Neurospora crassa OR74A: one gene and its partner. The protein of the gene in region 1 binds, or shares a complex with, the protein of each later gene. Links are inferred from orthologs where the notes say so. Each region holds a gene or a part of one and is shown on either strand. Other genes may lie near its edges.

The links. The genes of interacting proteins can lie anywhere in the genome.
Region 2: NCU02757 (region 1) and NCU04336 share a complex: the UniProt entries of both Schizosaccharomyces pombe proteins name them as parts of the mitochondrial large ribosomal subunit. The link is inferred for Neurospora crassa OR74A from reciprocal best matches to the Schizosaccharomyces pombe genes rml2 and mrpl19.

The regions. Positions count from the first base shown.
Region 1 is NC_026501.1:3,455,405-3,459,140, forward strand, and holds NCU02757 (mitochondrial 54S ribosomal protein RML2), read right to left. Parts: upstream 2,544-3,736; 5' UTR 2,160-2,543; coding exon 1,187-2,159; intron 1,125-1,186; coding exon 1,051-1,124; intron 987-1,050; coding exon 882-986; 3' UTR 513-881; downstream 1-512. UniProt on the Schizosaccharomyces pombe protein: Component of the mitochondrial ribosome (mitoribosome), a dedicated translation machinery responsible for the synthesis of mitochondrial genome-encoded proteins, including at least some of the essential transmembrane subunits of the mitochondrial respiratory chain.
Region 2 is NC_026504.1:3,733,343-3,736,445, reverse strand, and holds NCU04336 (mitochondrial 54S ribosomal protein YmL19), read right to left. Parts: upstream 1,754-3,103; 5' UTR 1,585-1,753; coding exon 1,444-1,584; intron 1,376-1,443; coding exon 1,040-1,375; 3' UTR 505-1,039; downstream 1-504. Other genes in the region: NCU04337 (survival factor 1), read left to right, coding at 2,953-2,975, 3,040-3,103. UniProt on the Schizosaccharomyces pombe protein: Component of the mitochondrial ribosome (mitoribosome), a dedicated translation machinery responsible for the synthesis of mitochondrial genome-encoded proteins, including at least some of the essential transmembrane subunits of the mitochondrial respiratory chain.

The DNA of each region.
Region 1 (3,736 bases):
CACCCCCGTTGATCTTGTGGTATACCTCTATGGAGATGAGACTATGCTTGCCTTTTGTCGACCCTCGTTCCTTCATGGCGTTGTATGTATGGCCGAATTGCGGGCGCATACCGAGACGCTGTCGTGATATGCCCTTACACAGTCAACCACTGTAAAGATACCACCGCTGGAATGCATATAAATCTCGCTGCGCTCAGGTCTACCCACGCGGCTATTTACGCCCCTATTTTTTTTTTTTTTTCAGGATGGCGTTCACAGAACCGGTAGCAGATCTGAAAGGGCGAAGGGGGACGGCATTGTTATTCTGCTCCTTGCAGAAGAGATGAACGCAAAATGTGATTGGACAACTCGACCGACTCCAATGACCAAACGCCTTCAGTTTCTTTCATTGTAGTCTGTTGTCTATAATCAACGCAAAAAAAAAAAAAAAAAAAAAAAAAAAAAAAAAAAAAAAAAAAAAAAAAAGGGAAAAAAAAATTTTTTAATTTTTTTAGGAAAATTAAACAAATTTTATAAGTAAATAAATCAATAAAAAATTTGTTAAGTTGGGGTCGGTATATGACAACGGAGTCTAACAAACCCCATGTGTAGTCTTTGGTACATTCCTGAAGTCGTATGCCGATTTATAGGCACAGTCACGGCCTTGGCCGGGCCCTGAACCACATCGCCGTAGAGTTGCTCAGTTGAAAGTGGAAAACAAAGACAAACACGGCAGATCTCCAACAGACGATGTTATTGGGCCCAATACCCACACATGGCATCCTTCCGGTGATATACTGAGCCCTCGAACTGCCGGCCTGCGAGCAAATGAATAAGTTTCACTACATATTGTACAAGATGGTGGGTATATAGCCCAAGTTGAGCACAGTGGGTTATTTTATTCATGTAGTCTTCTTGTTCCTCCGGACTCCCATGTTGCGGACCCGGGGGGTAACCACCCACTTGTTGACGTTGGACTTTCTGCGAGTCTTGTAACCACCTTTGGCCTACAGAAAAAGAGGGTAAGGCGTCTGTTCAGAGGAAGGAAGGAAATAAAGGGGCATGACTTACAGGTGTACCCCAAGGAGAAACAGGGTGCCTATTACCCTTCGACTTACCACGACCACCACCGTGAGGATGGTCATCTACCAGGCCGTTAGTTGGTTTTGCTCGCTTGACAAACGGATTGTTCTGGGAGTCTACTCACTTGCGTTCATCGCCAAACCTCTCACAGTAGGCCTAATGTTGAGCCAACGGCTTCTACCGGCCTTGCCCAGTTGTCTGTAGTGATGCATAATGTTGCTGGCAATACCAACGGTGGCGCAAGCGTCCTTGCTGACCCTTCTGATTTCTCCGCTCTGCAGTCTTACGTTGACGAACTTGCCCGTCATAACCTTTGTACCATCCTCACGGGTCTCCTCCTCTTTGGAAATAATGGTTGCATATGTTCCGGCACTGCGGCAGAAAACAGCCTTGCCATCCGGACGGGAGCCAACGCAATAGATCTGGGTTCCAACCGGAATCATGGACACAGGCAAGCAGTTGCCTCTCCAGCATGTCCTCGCAGCCAGAATACCAGGATCAACGACACCACCCATAGAATCGAGCAGGTCCTGGGGAAGACCGGACCGGTAGCTCTGCACAACGTCTCCAGCCCTCATACCATCCGCCGCAACAATATAGCTCTTCCTCCCTGTGGCCTCTTCCTTCACCAGCGCAATGTGCGCGCTGCGACCGGGATCGTACTCAATGCGCAGGACTGTGTGCGGACCGGGGATCCATCGTTCAAAGTCGACCATGCGGATTCTTCGCTTGTGACCACCACCGCGATGTCTGACGGTGACGCGACCACTGTGATTACGGCCACCCTTAGATTGACCCTTCTTGGGAAAGGTAAGAGGAAGATACGGCCGGCCCTTCCACAGGTGGTCGTTGATCGGGCGCTTCAAGTGACGGATACCGGGCGTGTGCGGCTTGTAGGTTCTCATCATGCCGGCGTCCCGGACGTAGGGAGTGACGATCTTGGCTTTGGCATCTTTGCTGGTGTTGCTGGTGCTGGTGCTGCTTGCTGATTGTGTGGCGGCCTTGGTGGCATAGCATCTGGCGACGGTGCGGCCCAGCACGGTTTGGGCAAAGGAAGCTGTCCCCGCAAGGAGGGGTCGGAATTGAGGCTGCAGCATGGCTGCTCGATCGCTGTCGGATATCCCAAGCTCCTGGCGGTGAGCTCTGGGGAGGTGAGGGTGCTGGAGGGGACAGTTGCTGCGATTTCCAGCAACCGGAATGCGACGTCCTCGCAGGCTGCTCGTCGAGGTTCTCGTCGCCGGCTTGTCGTCGATAACTGCTTGTGGAAAATTGCTCGGCTGATGCGCCAATCACAGCCGTGCATTGGTTTGCGATCCCTGACGATTGTGGCTGCTAATAGTGTGGCTTGTGTGGTGCAGCCACTGCCCTTTGGTGAAGAGCCTTGTTTCTTTCCAGGGGACAAGTGCTGCAAACAGCGCTCCAAAACGCGGGCGCGGGAGGAAGGCACCAAGTCATCACCGCGTGAAGGTGCAGTGCGGCGCGGGGAAAGAGCGTGCATCGTGCTCCATTCCTGCCCGCCCAAGGTTCCAGTCGCGTCTGACCCAGGATAGGTAAGGTACCTTAGTGTTGACAGCTGCTGGACACGCGCAGCCTGTTGGACAGTTTAAACCAATCAGAAGCTGATTTGACCGAATTGCCCTGCGGTTGCCAGTGTTGCCCTGACGGCGGGCGGATGACAGCAAGGGAGGGACGTGGCCTGTGGTGGCCTTGCCGCCTTCAGTTCCTTCACTGCGTGTTTGAGGTGCGACCCTTCTTTGTCCCTTCTGCTTGCAGTGCTCCATAACAGCGCCCGGCCCAAGTACAATTTCCTGGCCGCTTTCTCGACTCCGGATTCTGCAACTCGACACTCACCATCCGACTAACAACCATTTCCCTGGACGCACGACAATCGACTTTCAGCTACAGCAACAACAGCAACTTTCGACTCCGGCCATTGAAGCCTGCATTTCTTCGGCAGTACAACCTTTTCGACTTGCTTATTCGACAACGGCATCCTCATCATTCGACAACTTAGCAAGGCAGGGAACAGCAAGACGTGCGTCTGACAGAAGCCCATATTGCACGGCGCGTCATCACTTGTTGTGGTAATTTTGTTCCCTTTCCGGTGTCTTGGACTTCAAAGCTTCAAAGCCTCGCTGCACTAGTGACCTCGAAGGGCACTAGAGGTACTTTGCCCCAGTCCCAGCACGTCCGATCCGGTACCTGGGTGGGTGTCCACACGCCCGCTCCGTCCACTGGCACTCCAGCCCCATCCACTGGGCTGCACTGGCACTGGCACCTCCACCAAGACCTCGCAAAAACAAGACTCCCATTCTTCTCTGCCTCGTAAACATCATACCTCCCTTTCCCGTCCGCCAACTAGCATTCCCACTCCGCATCACCTGGACTCGCAAGGCCTTGCCATCACGACGGCAACCCTTGGCCTCGATCAGTCAATCTTTCCGGACGTCGCCATTGCGTGCTTTGCCCCGACCGTCGTCACCAATTGGGCAACATTCCCGATCAACAACAGCACATCCTTCACGGTCTCAGCCAACCTTCTGTTGCGGGACCCAGGGTTGATCTCCGGCTTCAACAACGTGCCGACAGCGACATCACTGCCGACCGCCGGTGTTCATTCTTCCCGACATCTTTGGGCTCTGTAGTCGGTGCGTCTAGTCTCATTGACTGTCCG
Region 2 (3,103 bases), on another chromosome or scaffold:
ACTGAACAACAGAGAGTCAAGTATGAATCCCGCAGCAGCCCCGACCACCGTCAAAGCGGCCTTTTAGAGCGCCGCCGTGTCCGAAAGACCGAGGCACCGCAAAGGCATGGATGACAAGTCTAGGTGGTGTTGGTGGTCAGCTTTGTCTCCAGTGACTGTCCTGATGTCACCCAACCTTTTTTTTCGATGGACTGCCAACGGATATGGTAAACAGCTTTCTATGTCGATCTCTACCGCCGAAAACCAGGTCCTTATCGCTCGGTTCGGTGTAACCCATGTCGATACCCCGCCATGCTGCGGGAGGTAATTGCCCGAATGGTTCTAGAAGCCATTGAATGTAATTGCAATCGTTGCACACGTGTAGGATATTAAACAATCATCCATTTCATCTCGTTAGTATTGAAAGCATGAGATGAACACCATGGCGACATGATACCGGGGCTTCGCCTGAGTGGTAAGAAGTGGGCTGGTGGATAAGCACTTGGGCGAAGCGGATGTTTGTTTACAAAACCCCTTTTTATATATGTGTGTGATTTGTCTTGCAGTCAGCTTAGCCAAAAGCATTATAAACACATCTCACCTACATTCAGGTAAGCATAATACCCGTTGGGCGGTCTACCTTGGTGACCGCCAACCTTAAAACTTAATCCTACAGAGACAGATCCTCGTCATACGCCTGCGTGTTCCACAAACACAAGCTATGTGAGCCAAGGTTGACGAAGCTGGAGTACGTTGAGGCAATGCAAACGCAAACCGGCAAATGCCCATATATGCCATGCCTGCCATCAGCACCCTTTTGTGGAAGCCTTTCCCAAACGATCATACTCCGTGGACCAACCAACAGCTCCAGGCACCGCTGTGCATTTTGAGATTTTGCCATACAATAATGATACAAGCAAAGATACACAGAGCCACAAGCTATGGCTATAGTCCGCATCCAATATTGGTAACAATGCCGTGGTCTATCCACCTAAAAGAAACAACCGTAACGCCTTCGTGCCCCCAAGCCCGTATAATGTCTTTCAGCGTATAGCCTCTTTCAGGGGATAACGTTGATACCGATCGACCTGGCCTGGTAGATGACCGCCCTGCAGAGGCCCTCGAGGGGCAGGCCGGATAGACGGAGCTCGGACTGCTTGATCTTGGCAATCTCGTAGACATGTTTGAGGCTGACGGTGCCGACAACCTCCTTGCCGGGGTTGCTGGCGCCCTTTCTCTTGCCGCCCTTGCCTATCGGGGCCTCGGCGGCGTTGAGCAGAAGCCATGATGTGTGAGGGGTGCGGACATCGAAGTGGAACGAGCGGTCGGGCCTGACGGTAACACGGACGGGCATAGGGGTACCGGTGTTGATATGGGCGGTTCTGGCGTTGAACTCCTATACAGATTTGAGCGCATGTCAGCTTGTGTTGTGGATATTATATGGGTGGGCGCATGCAAACCGACCTTGCAAAAGTCCATGGACTTGATGCCCTTGGAACCAAGGGCCGGACCGACCGGGGGACTCGGGCTGGCCTGACCGGCGCCGACAATGAGCTTCACCACCTGCTCAACACCACCAGCACCACCTTTTGCGGCCTTGGACATTCTGGCGACTCTACTGCAGATACCCTCGAGGGAAATTAAGTTGGGAGGAGAACGGAACGGTAATTCGGCGCGTCTGCAGTCGCGTGTTACACTTTCGAGGTCGGTCGGGTATCCTCGTTCGCGACGGCGGCAGCAACGGCGGCGGCGACGCCGCGCGCGGCACCTCAAGCTGGGCCCAAAAAAAAATCAGGGCGCCGGGCCGGCAACCGTTGCAGCCAGGGTCACGTCAGCCACTTCTTCAAAGCCTCAGCCACACACTATTTAGTGTAAAGTGCCGCAATCAGTCCCTTATCGCCGCTTTTCAGTGCCGTTAGTGGCTTACAGTAGTACTAGTACAGCATCGACGCCGAGCCCGCCCGTCAACTGAAAGTCCCGGCCTCGCTCGTCCCCAATTGCTCTCCTACCCGTACTACGCCCCCACTTTTTTGGACCTCGTAGAACTCGCACCCCCTAAAGTGGGTGCTCACGGGTACTACGGCCACACCAGTAAAACGGCCAGGTCAGGGTTAGAGGTGCAGTTTTGAGGCTCGATTCGTAGGGTAAAGCACAACTTCCCAACATATAGAAATTTCTGAAAAATGAAAAGCTGAACGGATACATTACTCTGTCCTGACTATCTTCTAACTCTTTCTTTATTCTCAATTAGTTGTTGAAATACGTTGTGGGCGTTCACTATTTTGGTATCGTTTATCTGATTCGCACCTCTAACCCTGGTGGCCGTTTTAGTGGTGTGGCCGTGTTATTCGTAAGCACCCACTTAGGTGGGTGCGAATTTGCGAGTCCCAAAAAAGTGGGGGCGTAGTACGGGTACCGGGCGTGACTTGGATTGATCATTCCCGTCATTGCCTGCCGCCTGCCCTGCCGCAAAGGTGCGTTCGAGCTGCTGCAAGTCTGCAAGGGAACACAGCATTGCGAAACCTGAACGCTCCAAGTGATTGCAGACCCGCTGTAGGAACCTGAAAGGGTCCAATCGATCGTCAAGTCCTCAGGTGATGTGGAGAGTTGGGCGGAACAGTGACGTGCACCTTCAAGAGCCAGTGAGTCTTCTTTGCTGCTCGACTGCCACGCATCGAGGGCCACGGCTAGAGGCAGTCGGCCGCGGGGAAGCCCAAAGGTACGTACTTGTAGGAGATTTGGGACAGACTGGGTTGCCCCTTCTGTTTTCCATTGGCTTTTATCTGAGCGCGGCGCCATCTCAGCTCTGCCCCATCTTTCTCGACGGCGGTGAATGACTTTAATCTTGAACATCAAACTACCTGGAAAATTCTCACAACTAGACTCATTTTCGCCTCGTTGTCTTGACTTTTTGCTTCTGTAATCTATACTCTTCCCATTTCGCCCTATACCCCCCCCCCCCAGTCTTTCATCATGTTCAAGTGGGCGCAAGCGGCGTGAGTACTCCAAGCACCACCCCCACCATCCGCTGGACGCAGACCTCTAACGACTCGCTTGTAGGTTGGCCAATGTCGCCGGCACCAAGGAGCCTATCTACGGCCCCGAGGCTATCAGGTCTGTCGCC